Linked DNA regions of Anolis sagrei. The protein of the gene in region 1 interacts with the protein of each later gene in a biochemical or structural test. Links are inferred from orthologs where the notes say so. Each region holds a gene or a part of one and is shown on either strand. Other genes may lie near its edges.

Region 1 (7,387 bases):
CTAGACTATTAATTGCAAAATATTGGAAAGGGGCAATGAAAATACAGATTAATGAATGGTATAAAGAAATCTGGAAAATGGCATTGAATGATAAGCTAACATCAAACTTAAAAGTAAAAAAGGGATTATGTAAAAAATGACTTTGAAAGTATCTGGAGAAAATTTCTAGAAAAATTATTGGAAAGAGAAGATGGGAATTTATCTCCAAATGAAGAACTGATTTTTTTGGTGGGACTTTAAGAAAAGAGATGGCTCTGGAGAAGGGGAGCACAGGGGTGAATGTAAATAAAAGAGGGAAATGTATAGTATATGACTACATAACTATTTTCTCTTCTCAAATAATTTTTTTTAAAAAGGAAATGATGGATGAGGGATGTTTATAGACAGGAATGGAAGAACATACCTTTTCCCGCCTTGGCCTCCTCATGTGGCTCGTCATCCAGCGGTTCCTTTAGCTTCTCCTCTTTGGCGCTTGGTTTCTCGCCTTGCCTTCCCAAAAGGCCTGGATGTCTTGCAGGAGTGAGGATGTAGTCCGTGGTGCTGTTTGTGTGGGTGAGATTCCTTTCCAGAGGCGTGCCCTGCTGCACAGCCCGAAGAGCTGCCCTGATCTTCATGGCTGAGAAGATTTTTGACGGAGACTGAAAAGGCGGCCGCTCGCAAACCTTACTTTTGAGGAAGGTGCTCCCTGTCGGCGATATGGCTTCCTGCTTCACATCGCACAAAGTTGGCCCCTGTTCTTCAGTAACTGGCTTTATCTCGCTGAGGTCAAGAAATAATTTATCAAAAGGAGCACCAGCTATGAGAGTTGACTGGAGGGTTTTCCCCCCTTTAACCTCTTTTCTCAAGCCATTTTTTCTGCAGGGAAGAACCACTGAAGGAAAAACAGCTTCTTTGGCAACTGAAGTTCTATCCTCCCGAAATTTCCCCAAGTCTTTTAGAGGCGTGCCTCCAGGGATGATGCTGAGGGAAACGGCTTTCATCCCTCCTCTTCTACCAGAAGGAAATGGAGACAACAAAATCCCTCAAACTTTTTGCGAGGTAGCAAGTACCTTAACAAAACATGACTCTTCCATGTTGTTCCAATGGCAAAGTCTTTCAACTTGATGTCTTTTTTATTACTATGAAGAGAGGGTCATAAATTCCAGGTTTGTGCTTTCACATTTTAGCTAAAAAGAAAAATGCCGTGGTTAGTTTTGTGCTTAAGAACAAGTAACATTATTTGCATCAGACTCAAGTGACAAATACTGATTTTTATCCTAATTTTCAGGATACAAAACTCCCCACGTTGGCTGACAAGTGATCATAACAAGCTACCCATAATCTGAGGAAAGGACTGGATGGCAGACCAGGAATGCAGCAAACTTAATGTGTTAAGTTGTTAACTGTTTTTACACTGTTGCATTGAACTTTTGCTGTTCTTATTGGTTGTGAACTGCTGTGAGTCGCCTTTGGGCTGATGTTTCGCCTGCATCTATGGAAAGCATCCTCAGAGGTAGTGAGGTCTGTTGGAAATAGGGAAATGGGTTTATATATCTGTGGAATGACTGGGGTGGGGCAAAGAGCTCTTCTCTGCTGAAGCTAGGTGTGAATGTTTCAGCTGACCACCTTCATTAGCATTTGAAGGCCTGGCTGAGCCTGGGAAAATGTTCTGTTGAGAGGTGTTAAGAGGTGTTACCTCTGCAGGAGTCTACCGTGTACCATGCAGCTGTGGACAAGTCTACATAGGATCCACCAAACGTAGCAGCATTGCCCAAACACGCATCAAGGAACATGAAAGGCACTGCAGACTACTCCAACCAGAGAAGTCAGCCATAGCAGAGCACCTGATGAACCAGCCTGGACAGAGCACCTGATGAACCAGGAGTATGTCACAGCAAACGAGATCTATATGCTGAATTTCTTATCACAGAATCACAAGTCGAACACTTCCCAAGCGGGTTGTTGTAGGTTTTTTCGGGCTATATGACCATGGTCTAGAGGCATTTTCTCCTGATGTTTTGCCTGCATCGATGGCAAGCATCCTCAGAGGTAGTGAGGTCTGTTGGAAATAGGAAAAAAGGGTTTATATATCTGTGGAAAGACCAGGGTGGGACAAAGGACTCTTGTCTGCTGGAGCTAGGTGTGATTGTTTCAATTGACCACCTTGATTAGCATTTGATGGCCTGGCAGTGCCTGGAGCAGTATTTTGTTGAGAGGTGATTAGATGTCCTTGTTTGTTTCCTCTCTGTTGTTGTGCTGTGTTAGCACATTATTTGAGAACACAGCATATTATTTGAGAACACAGAAATGCTGGACCACTCTCACAACCACCATGTCAGACTACACAGAGAAGCCATTGAAATACACAAGCATGTGGACAATTTCAACAGAAAGGAAGAAACCATGGAAATGAACAAAATCTGGCTACCAGTATTAAAAAAAACTCTAAAATTGCAACAGCAAAACAGCAGAGAGGAAACAACCAGGCACATCTTAACACCTCTCAACAAAAGATTTTCCCAGGCTCAGGCAGGCCTTCAAATGCTAATGAAGGTGGTCAGCTGAAACATTCACACCTAGCTCCAGCAGAGAAGAGTTCTTTGTCCCACCCTGGTCATTCCACAGATATATAAACCCATTTTTCCTCGTTCCAACAGACCTCATTACCTCTGAGGATGCTTGCCATAGATGCAGGCGAAACGTCAGGAGAGAATGCCACTAGACCATGGCCATATAGCCCGAAAAAACCCACAAGAACCTAGTGATTCCAGCCATGAAAGCCTTCGACAATACATTGACTCAATAATAATAATAATAATAATAATTACTACTACTATTGTGTCTCTTCGTATCCATTCTCACCTTCAGCGGCTTCTTCTCCTCACAGACTAACCGCCGTTACGTTTGAATCTCCCCCGCGTAGCCTCCGCCGACGCTGATTGGTCGGAAAGCCGGAAGTGACGCCATCACGTCGTCGGCGACGGAAATGCCTCTGTCGGCCATTTTGGAGACGGGCAAAAAGAAGACATAGGCCAAGAGAAACTTGTCAGGCCTTTCGCTTCCAGTCATGAAGACACCAGTTAATGCTACTGCGGGCGGGGGGGGGGGACGGGACTACGTAATCTGTATTAAACGAAATGCCTCTAAAAGAGGAAGAAAGGCCTCTGAGGAGATATTCCCAGTGCGCATGCGCAGTACACTTCTTTCGCTGCTGAGCGTCTTGCAGCAGTTCTAGCGCATGCGCACATCCAAGTCTCATTCTCGCCTGGAAAGATCCCAGTGCGCATGCGTAGTTGCCTCTCTTCGCTGCTGAGCCTCTGACTGTATTGAGCAGTGCCTGAGTTTAGCGCATGCGCACATCCAAGCCTCTCATTCTCTCCTGGAAGGATCCCAGTGCGCATGCGTAGTTGTCTCTCTTCGGTGTCGAGCCTCTGACCGTATTGAGCGGGGCCTGGGTTTAGCGCATGCGCACATCCAAGCTTCTCATTCTCGCCTGGAAGGATCCCAGTGCGCTTGCGTAATTGCCTCCCTTCGTTGTGTAGCCTCTGACTGTATTGAGCGGGGCCTGGGTTTAGCGCATGCGCACATCCAAGCTTCTCATTCTCGCCTGGAAGGATCCCAGTGCGCTTGCGTAATTGCCTCCCTTCGTTGTCTAGCCTCTGACTGTATTGAGCGGTGCCTGGATTTAGCGCATGCGCACATCTAAGCCTCTCCATCTCTTCCCACGTTCTGGGAAGTGTCCCGGTTTCTTTCTTTCTTTCTCCCTTTGCGCTCAGCTTTCATTCATTGCTGTGCAAAAGAAGTGGAGAGGAAGAAGGAGAACACACATTGCAGATACTGTGTATCAAAGAACCTTAAAGCTATGTATATGTTATCTGTTATGTAAAACTTTAATGAATATTTGGTCTAGCATTTGATGGCCTGGCAGTGCATGGGGCAATCTTTCGTTGAGAGGTGATTAGATGTCCTTGTTTGTTTCCTTGTGCTGCTCTAATTTTAGAGTTTTTTTAATACTGGTAGCCAGATTGTGTTCATTTTCATGGCTTCCTCCTTTCCGTTGAAATTGACTACATGCTTGTGGATTTCAGCGGCTTCTCTGTGTAGTCTGACAACAACAAAAGATTGCTTCAGGCTCTGCCAGGCCATCAAATGCATTTGGGTTGAGGCTTTGGAGCTTTGCTGTTGTGTATTGGGGCTCATTTTGCATAGAGGCACATTGCATGTGGCTATTATAATTCATGTAGGTTTTTTCGGGCTATAGGCCATGTTCTAGAGTCATTCTCTTCTGACGTTTCGCCAGCATCTATGGCAAGCATCCTCAGAGGTAGTGAGGTCTGTTGGAAATAGGGAAATGGGTTTATATATCTGTGGAATGACTGGGGTAGGGCAAAGAGCTCTCTGCTGAAGCTAGGTGTGAATGTTTCAGCTGACCACCTTCATTAGCATTTGAAGGCCTGGCTGAGCCTGGGAAAATGTTCTGTTGAGAGGTGTTAAGATGTGCCTGGTTGTTTCCTCTCTGCTGTTTTGCCAAGCCTTCAAATGCTAATGAAGGTGGTCAGCTGAAACATTCACACCTAGCTCCAGCAGAGAAGAGCTCCTTGCCCCACCCCAGCCATTCCACAGATATATAAACCCTTTTTCCTAGTTCCAACAGACCTCACAACTTCTGAGGATGCTTTCCATAGATGCAGGCGAAACGTCAGGCGAAATGCCTCTAGAACATGGCCCTATAGCCCGAAAAAAACCTACAAGAACCTAGTGATTCCAGCCATGAAAGCCTTCGACAATACATTATTATAATTCAGCTTGAATTTCTGCATTTGGTTTGAGGCTGTGGAGTCATGCTGTTGTGCATAGAGACACATTGCACATGGCAATTATTTACACTATAGAATGAATGCAGTCTGAATTTCTGCATTTGGTTTGAGGCTGTGGAGTCATGCTGTTGTGCATAGAGACACATTGCACATGGCAATTATTTACACTATAGAATGAATGCAGTCTGAATTTCTGCATTTGGTTTGAGGCTGTGGAGTCATGCTGTTGTGCATAGAGACACATTGCACATGGCAATTATTTACACTATAGAATGAATGCAGTCTGAATTTCTGCATTTGGTTTGAGGCTGTGGAGTCATGCTGTTGTGCATAGAGGCACATTGCACATGGCGATTATTTACACTATAGAATGAATGCAGTCCGAATTTCTGCATTTGGTTTGAGGCTGTGGAGTTGTGCTGTTGTGCATAGAGGCACATTGCACATGGCGATTATTTACACTATAGAAAGAATGCAGTCTGAATTTCTGCATTTGGTTTGAGGTTGTGGAGTCATGCTGTTGTGCATTGGTGCACATTGTGAACATGAAGCAGGCACATTGTGCACCAATGCACAATGTGCACCAATGCACAAGAGTTGTGCTCTTGTGCATTGGTGCACATTGTGAACATGAAGCAGGCACACTGGATGATGCGCCTTCGGTTGCACCGCATTGATGTCCAGCCGAAAGACACTGTTGTTATTCCTCCTCCGTGTAAGGAAAGGTGTGCACATTTACGCCATGCAAATGTGACCCCTGAACTTGGGCGATGTTTACTCTCTGGGGCTCCCCCCCCCCCTTTTCCATGTTAGGAGTTCCCTCTGCGCCAAAGCGAAGCCCCTTCTAAGTCCCACTAAAACCATCCCCCTCCCTCTTAGGTTTTAAATCAATCAGAGCACCTTTGAAATGAGCAGAGGGTTCCACAAAGTGCTTTGCTTTGACTGGATTACGAAGGAACACAAGGCGCTGCCTTATCTGCAAGGCTTCAGGCTCCGGGAGAGGGGCAAAGGGACTCCTTATCAGCCAGAGGAAGCCATGCGCTCCACTTTAGAGATCCCTTTGCAGGGGAACCAGCACCGCATGGGTTGCACTTAGGAATGCATTGCAGGCTTAGCTCTCCATGGGACTCACTATGGGTCCCTGCCTCGATCTGGTAAGATCTGCACACAATAGGAAGCTGTCTGTTCCTATAGCCGATGCATCAGTAATGTATGAAATCTGCTCAGTGAAATTCCTGGAGACTTACTTACTTACTTACTTACTTAGGTGATCCCTCATTGTCCGAGGATGATGGTCCACCAAGTGGGTCCGTAGGTGACTGTGGAGTCCTATTTTAGACCTGCATCTTCTCCCGCACTGAGGGCATTGGTTTCCAGGTAGAAGGCAGTCCCGTTCATGGGTTGGCTTGACATGCCTTCCTCTTGGCATGTTTCTCTCTTTTGCCCTCCATTTGTGCCTCTTCAAATTCTGCAGCATTGCTGGTCACAGCTGACCTCCAACTGGAGCACTCAAGGGCCAGGGCTTCGCAGTTCTCAGTGTCTATGCCAAAGTTTTTAACGTTGTCATTGAGCCCATCTTTCAATCTCTTTTCTTGCCCACCAACATTCCGTTTTCCATTCTTGAGTTTGGAATAAAGCACCTGCTTTGAGAGATGGTGGTCGGGCATCCGGACAACGTGGCCGGTCAGCGGAGTTGATGGCGGAGGACCATCGCTTCAATGCTGGTGGTCTTTGCTTCTTCCAGCATGCTGAATCATTCCATCATGGAATGTGTCCAGAGGAGGGCGACTAAAATGATCAAGGGTCTGGAGAACAAGCCCTGTGAGGAGCGGCTTAAGGAGCTGGGCATGTTTAGCCTGAAGAAGAGAAGGCTGAGAGGAGATATGATAGCCATGTATAAATATGTGAGAGGAAGCCACAGGGAGGAGGGAGCAAGCTTGTTTTCTGCTTCCCTGGAAACTAGGACAAGGAACAATGGCTTCAAACTACAAGAGAGGAGATTCCATCTGAACATGAGGAAGAACTTCCTGACTGTGAGAGCCGTTCAGCTGTGGAACTCTCTGCCCCGGAGTGTGATGGAGGCTCCCTCTTTGGAAGCTTTTAAACAGAGGCTGGATGGCCATCTGTCAGGGGTGATTTGAATGCAATATTCCTGCTTCTTGGCAGAATGGGGTTGGACTGGATGGCCCAGGAGGTCTCTTCCAACTCTAGGATTCTATGATTCTAGGATTCCAGGAGTTGCATGTGGTGTCTGTAGACAGTCCACGTTTCTTCATTGCTTTGAACGAAATACAAATAAAGCATTGGAGCCATCAACTGCCATCAATTCCACTGGACCGGCCACATTGTCCAAATGTGGCCGAGCACCGTCTCTCAAAGCAGTTGCTCTACTCTGAACTCAAGAACAGGCATTGTAATGTTGGTGGGCAGGAAAAGAGATTTAGAGAGGGGCTCAAAGCTGACCTTAAAAACTGTGGTATTGACACTGAGAACTGGGAAGCCCTGGCCCTTGAACACTCTAGTTCGAGGTCAGCTGTGACCAGCAGTGCTGTAGAATTCGAAGAGACACTAATGGAGAGCAAAAGGAATTT
Region 2 (7,398 bases), about 54 Mb from region 1:
AACAATGCATTTAACAGGAGGAAGAAATATGGGGACAAAAACTAGCCCAAACAAAAACTGCAGACCAGCTAACCAAAAAGCCTGAGGTGCACTGATTCAGAAGAAAACAATTTGCTGCCCCTTTGGACCCCAACAGGAGTTTCTAAGGTTCAAAATGGAAAATGGGCATCCTATACTTCAGCGGAGAAGAGAGGTTTCTCTGGAGACACACAAGTGGGCTCATTCCAAGTGGATCAGCCCAATAGTTGGGCGGTTAACAGTAACAAGAGGACAACAACCAAGCCATTGGCCTTCTTTGATTTGAATCCTACAAAGTAGAATGAATGCAGTTTGACACCACTTTTCCCGTCATGGTTCAGTGCTATGGAATCACGGGAGTTGTAGCCTTGCAAGGTCCAGAGTGCTGGTGTCTTACCGAACTACAAATTCCAGTTCAATTCCATATCAAACCGCATCACCTCAAGCTCCATCAAATCTCTAAAAAACCGAGTTCAAGACTTTTCTTAGAGCAAGCATGGGCAAACTTAGGCGCTCCAGGTGTTTTGGACTTTTTCAAAATATTTATTTCGGTCATTGACCAGCACAGGAAATAGTGTCACATTTCCATACAAACCTGGCATGTTTGGTACATTAAAAATATAAATATAACTACTAAAAACACAATATGGGTGAGGGAGCAGAAGGGGAAACAGGGTAAAAACATACAATTCCTACCGGGTGTTAGGAATTGTGGGAGTTGGTCCAAAACACCTGGAGGGCCTAAGTTTGCCCATGCCTAGCTTAAAGGAACAAAACCTTCAGTTTCTTCGGTCGCACCTACACTATAGAATTAGCGCAGTTTGAGACTGCGTTAACTGCCATGGCTCAACTATATAGAATCATGGGAGCTGTAGTTTTAAAAGGTACCTCAACAAACTACAAATCCCGGGATTACATAGCACTAAGGCATGGCAGTTAAAAGTGGTATCAAACTGGATTAATTTTACAATGCAGATGCACTCTAAAGAGTTCTGCTAGAATGTTCCACCAGCTAATAATTTCCACAACATCCGCGCCTTACCTCTCAAGGTACCATGGCTATAGTAATTCAAGGGTGTGCACTAGAAGTCTCTGTCATTCTAAGTACCGTTCAAAACTCAGTTCCCTGAGGCAATTCAGTGTTATCTTTGTGCCATTCCCCATAGAATCATAGAGTTGGAAGAGACCTCATGGGCCATCCAGTCCAACCCCCTGCCAAGAAGCAGGAATATTGCATTCAAAGAACCCCTGACAGATGGCCATCTAGCCTGTTTAAAAACCTCCAAGGAAGGAGCCTCCACCACACTCCGGGGCAGAGAGTTCCACTGCTGAACGGCTCACAGTCAGGAAGTTCTTCCTCATGTTCAGATGGAATCTCCTTTCTTATAGTTTGAAGCCACTGTTCCACGTCCTAGTCTCCAGGGAAGCAGAAAGCAAGCTTGCTCCCTCCTCCCTGTGACTTCCTCTCACATATTTATACATGGCTATCATATCCCCTCTCAGCCTTCTTTTCTTCAGGCTAAACATGCCCAGCTCCTTAAGCCGCTAATCATAGGGCTTGTTCTCCAGACCCTTGATCATTTTAGTCGCAGATAGCAATTTATAAATTCGTTTTCATTGGGAAACATAAACAACTAAGGGTAGACCTAAGTTCTCACCTTGAGATTGGCCTTCAGCCCCAGAGCCTTGGCCAGGGACTGCAGCTCGCTGTACTTGAGCGTCTCCAGCCGCTCCTCCGGGGGAGAAACCTCCATGACTGGGCGCCTCCAGCCACCAAAGGGAAGGAAGGAAAGCTCCGCGCCCAACTGCCGCGCCTCGAAGCCGCTCGCGCGCTCTCCCTTCAAACCTTCACTCGTCGCGCGGCATTGGTTGGACGCTCGCGGAAGAGGGCGGTGCCTGAAGGAGGCCCGTGGCCAATAGGATGCCTTCGCGTGAGCCAGCGAAACAAAACAAAAAGGTTATTTTTTTCTAGGGTTTTTTTCCCCAAGCTTCTCGTACATTTTCGGAAAGAGAACGGAAACAGCCGAGCTCCCAACCCTTCCAGTTGGCGGAGAGACCAATCCTCCGGGGGTTGGGAATAAAATCAACCGGCGACAAAAGCATGAATGGGTTGCTGTAAGTTTTCCTGGCTGTATGGCCATGTTCCAGAAGCCTTCTCTCCTGACTTTTCGCCTGTATCTATGGTTTGTTGTTCATTCGTTCAGTCGTCTCCGACCCTTCATGACCTCATGGACCAGCCCACGCCAGAGCTCCCTGTCTGGAGCTCCCTGTCTGCAGTCACCACCCCCAGCTCCCTCAAGGTCAGTCCAGTCACTTCAAGGATGCCATCCATCCATCTTGCCCTTGGTCGGCCCCTCTTCCTTTTACCTTCCGCTTTCCCCAGCATCATTGTCTTCTCTAGGCTTTGCTGTCTCCTCATGATGTGGCCAAAGGTTGTAAGATCTCTTGGAAACTAGGAAAATGGGGTTTATATATCTGTGGAAAGAACAAGAGTTCTTTCTTCCAACCTTTTAGTCCGGGGGTCCTCAAACTTTTTAAACAGAGGGCCAGGTCACAGTCCCTCAAACTTTTGGAGGGCAGGATTATAATGTAAAAAAACAAACAAACATGAATTCCTATGCACAATGCACATATCTTATTTTAGTTCAAAAACCACTTAAAAACAATACAATAATTACAATAATGAACAATTTTAATAAATATTAATTTATAAGTATTTCAATGGGAACTGTGGGCCTGCTTTCGCCTGATGAGATATGATTGTTGTTGTTGTGTGCTTTCAGGTCGTTTCAGACTTAGGTTGACCCTGAGCAAGGGCCAGGTAAATGACCTTGGAGGGCCACAACCGGCTCCCGGGCCTTAGTTTGAGGTCCCCTGCTTTAGTCTTTAACTTTCTCTCCCAAACTGTGCTTGTGCCAGCTATCACCTTCCAACAAAGGATTCCCCTAGGCAGGAAGTGGTCAGGCTTGGAAGCTACAAGACCATTAAATGCTAATTAAGGTGGACAACTGCAGCATTCACACCTGCCTCCAACAGTGTCAGTGAAAGCCCTGGATCCAAACCTCAGCAGATACCAAGGATCTACTCCACACCGCATTTTAGATTGCATACCTTTGGCAGGTCCAGTGTTTGTTGTTTTACTTTTTAAGGCAGTCTGTTATTTCAAACAATGATATGAACAAAATCTGGCTACCAGTATTTAAAAACTCTAAAATCAGGACAGTAAATAAGGAGCAATACTCAGAAAACTGTGGAATTCCAGGCATGAAATAATCAGGGCCAGCTAGCGTATCCTAACAAAGGATTCCCCCAGGCAGGAAGCGGCCAGGCTTTGAAGCTGCAAAGGCATTGTATACTAATCAAAGTGGCCAATTACAACATTCACACCTGCCTCAAACAGAAAAAAGTTATTTTTCCCAGCCTGGACATTCCATAGATATATAAACGCCACTTGCCTAGCTTCCAACAGATCTCACAACCTCTGAGGATGCCTGCCATAGATGTGGGTGAAACATCAGGAGAGAATACTTCTGGAATGTGGCCATACAGTCCGGAAAACTCACAGCAACCCAGTGATTCCGGCCATGAAAGCCTTCGACAACGCCAAAGCATAAATGTAAAAAAAAAAAAAAGAGCTGAGTTAAGAGGGCCAGGCTTTCAAAAGGAAAGGAACCAAACCGCCACCGTTTTTGAGACCAAATCAATCACCGAGAGGCATTTCAAACACAAAGCTGCGCAGTTTAAAATCAACACAATGAAGCCTTCCCAAAAACATCAGAAAGGAGCTGGGATCTAGCGCCCACCCACGTGACTTTGAAACCGAATTGCTGCTTTTCACAGCGCATCGAGAAAGAAAGCCGAATTCCGGGAGAATTGCGGGAAGGGGGATAAATGCATGTCATATTTTCCCTTTGGAAAGAAAAGGGGAACTGAGAAGGGATTCAACAACCCGGAGTCTTTTTAAAGAAATGTATACATATAAAACGGGGACTACCTTTACCTTTACCTATACATATAAAAACACGCGCGCACACAGCACAAGAGAGTACCAAAATGCCAAAGGAACACGGTGAATGTTGTGAGCCGCTCTCTCCTCTCCAACCGAGTCTGCAGGTCTTACGAGAGAAAGACAGGCCTCTGCGTGGGAGGTCAAGTGCCGAAGAGACGTTGGCTTCGAGGCCTGCCTGGGCCACGGAAACGTCCAAATAAAATTGTTTTTAAACCGCCCGCGCCCCCGCTTTGTGTTATATTCTTGAAACCCGATTGGGTCAAGCCGCAAAGTAGGCCAATGGGCGAGGAGAAGGCGGGCGCGTGCTTAACGAAAGCGGGGGATTAGGTCTAACGGAAACGTGGGCGGGCAGCTCCAGCCAATGACGGTGGAAGAAGGCGGGCTCGTGCTTGGCGGGGGATGAGGTTTGAACGTTTGGCGGAAAACAAGATGGCGGTGCGTCGGCAACTGCAGCTGCTCTTCCAGGAGCCCCGAGTGGGTGGCGGCATCATGGTGGAGCGGGCAGGACCTGGAGTAGCGAAAGGCCCCAGCCCGCCGCCGCCGCCGCCAAGCAAGAGGCCCGAGGGTGCCTGGGAGCGGCTCCCCGGCTTTCGGGGCCTGAGACCGGAGGACTGCGTGCTCTACCAATGCCGGAGTTGCCGCGCCGTGCTGGGGGACTCGCTTCACCTGTGCGCCCAGGAGGAGAAGCTCCGCCTCCTCGCCTGCTTCAGTGAGTTCGCCTAGCTCGGGAGAGCGGAGGTTGGGCGCATCCTCGCTACGCCAAGTGGGGACAACCTGTGGTCCTCCAGTGCTTGGGCCTCCAACTCCCAGAAGCTATTGCCAGCCTGTCCAATGGTCAGGAATTCTGGGAACCTGGAGGACGAGTTTGGAACTCACTTGAGTAGAATGAATGAATCAGAAGTGATGGGCGTTGTTATTCAATAACAAATGGGCTAAAAATGAAAAGCAACTATGTGAAAAATATATTTGGCCCCCTGTATCCTCACATTTATTTATTTATTTATTATTATTAACTTTATTTATACCCTGCTAACATCTCACGAAGGACTCGGTGCGGCTTACAAGAGGCCAAGGCCCAACACATCAATAAAACAACAGCATAACAATACAACAATTAGTAAACTCATAAAAGAAAGCAATAAACATTAGACAATAACACCACAACACATTTAAAACTAAGGCCAGGCCAAATGTAATGAATAAAATTTAAAAAATGCTGGACATGACAGGTGAAATGGATAGGTTTTTGGAGATAGGTGCTGTGTGCAGACAATCTTAAATCTCTAATAATGTGCATTTGGGACATGATGCTAGGCGTTTCCTATTCTGGGAAGGCACACTGGAACAGCCACGTCTTCAAGCTCTTCCTAAACACTGCCAACGTTGGGGCTTGTCTGATGTCCTTAAAGAGAGAGTTCCAGAGTCGGGGGGCCACCACAGAGAAGGCCCTGTCCCTCGTCCCCACCAAACGCGCTTGTGACGCAGGTGGAATCGTGAGCAGGGCCTCTCCAGATGATCAGAGAGATTGTGTAAGTTTGTATACTGTATTTATATGCCGCGTTTCTCAGCCCTGGGTGGACTCAAGGCAGTTTACAACGTACTAATGGCAAAAATTCATTGCCAACATACAGTAGACAAATCATAATAACTAAGTAATTACTACATATAACTATGAACTTAAAATCAACTTAAACCATTAAACATAAATACATAACATTTAAATATTCAGACAAAGCATAAAATCACCCTAGTATAAACATTAGGCTATGTATCTCAGATGTATATGAAACATAAATGAATGTTGTGTTCAGGCTTTGGGTCTCATCTCCAAAATATCTCGAAATGTATCTGCAAGTATTCCAAGATCTTTAAACATTCTTATTTAAAAAACATTGCTAGTCCCATGGATTTTGGATAGGAGTTAGTGAACCTGAACTTTATCTCTGTTCTGAGTTGCATCCAGGTACGGACTATTTTTAAATTATTATTATTATTATTATTATTATACCCTGCTTTTCTCCCAGGACAGAAGCCTTATCTGCATTACATGATCAGTGTAGACTCATATAATGCAGACTGAACTGGATTATATGAATCTACACCAGGTTCTCCCTCCATGGATTCAAAGGCCCATTGAAGACAACTGTAAGGCTTGACACCACTTTAACTAATGTGGTTCTGTCCCCAGATGTTATTAAATGATAAACTTTTGAATATCTGCCATGCAGATTGGGGAAAATGGGAATTGCAACCCAACAGCACATGTGGCTCTGGGGTTGGAGAAAGGTTAAAGGACAAAGGTTAAAGTCGAATATCATATCCACAAGCCATATATCTAAATTCAGGCACCATCATTCTGACTAAAAATGACAGACTGCAACCTTACAGGTGTTACTTTTTCACATTGAACATCAGCTCCAATCATGTCTAATGAAGAGGAATACAGGAGTTGTCATCCAGCATCTGGAGGACTACACAGAAAGACATGGCAGGCCAGATTTGTGTAGATTCACCCTCAAAAATATTCCCAGCCCAATTACATTCATACTTCCTTGAAGGCTACCTCATTCCTACTTTGTATTTGCTTTGCTTTCCTTTCCTTTTGTTTTGTTTTGTTCCTGGCCATCTAACAATATAAAAATAGTTCACCTGTTTCTTTTTTGTTCAGCAAATGTACTGAGATTTTTCTGCAGTCAGATTTCCTGTCAAGTGTTTAAGCAGCATGCAATGATTAGAAGGATACAGTTAGCTCTTCAGATCAGTTAATTTGCAGATTTCATTGCTGTATTTGCAAATTGCTGTATTTATGCCACCTCTTTTGTTCTACTCACAGCCAAAAACATGTGGTATCTTCTGTCTAGGCATTTGTGGGTCCCACAAATGGCTAGAGCAGTCTTCTTTCAAGTAAAAAGTAGCATTTGCAATTTATATTTGCATTTTCCCCACTTTGAGACTATGTGCCACTAACACCGGTAAATGTAGAGGAGCTACGATATATTAAGGGTGTGCGAGACATCAAAAAACTGCCATTTTGTATGCAATATAATTAAATCTGTTAGCAGAAAATTTGGAGTTTAATTTTTTTTAAATGTTTTTCTCTTTCAGAAGTCACAAATGATATTGTTGTGGAAGATGATTTGATGGTTTGTGTGGAAGGAGATCTTACTGGATGGTGGGTATTTCTTGAAATTATTCCTTCTCTTTTATGCATGCTAAATTAAGTGATTAATGCGATGTGCGCGGCTTGATGAATGCAAAGCTGGGGTGAAAATTGCTGGAAGAAACTTTAACAACTTCAGATATGCAGATGACACCACTCTGATGGCCGAAAGTGAGGAGGAGCTGAGGAGCCTTCTAATCAAGGTGAAAGA

The links. The genes of interacting proteins can lie anywhere in the genome.
Region 2: the proteins of MIS18BP1 (region 1) and OIP5 form a complex in vitro, tested with the Homo sapiens proteins (2 studies listed by BioGRID). The link is inferred for Anolis sagrei from reciprocal best matches to the Homo sapiens genes MIS18BP1 and OIP5.

The regions. Positions count from the first base shown.
Region 1 is NC_090021.1:342,640,008-342,647,394, reverse strand, and holds the start of MIS18BP1 (mis18-binding protein 1), read right to left. Parts: upstream 3,005-7,387; 5' UTR 2,808-3,004; intron 1,167-2,807; 5' UTR 981-1,166; coding exon 404-980; intron 1-403. UniProt on the Homo sapiens protein: Required for recruitment of CENPA to centromeres and normal chromosome segregation during mitosis.
Region 2 is NC_090021.1:288,820,679-288,828,076, forward strand, and holds the start of OIP5 (protein Mis18-beta), read left to right. Parts: upstream 1-4,398; 5' UTR 4,399-4,426; coding exon 4,427-4,736; intron 4,737-7,132; coding exon 7,133-7,199; intron 7,200-7,398. Other genes in the region: NUSAP1 (nucleolar and spindle-associated protein 1), read right to left, coding at 1,677-1,772. UniProt on the Homo sapiens protein: Required for recruitment of CENPA to centromeres and normal chromosome segregation during mitosis.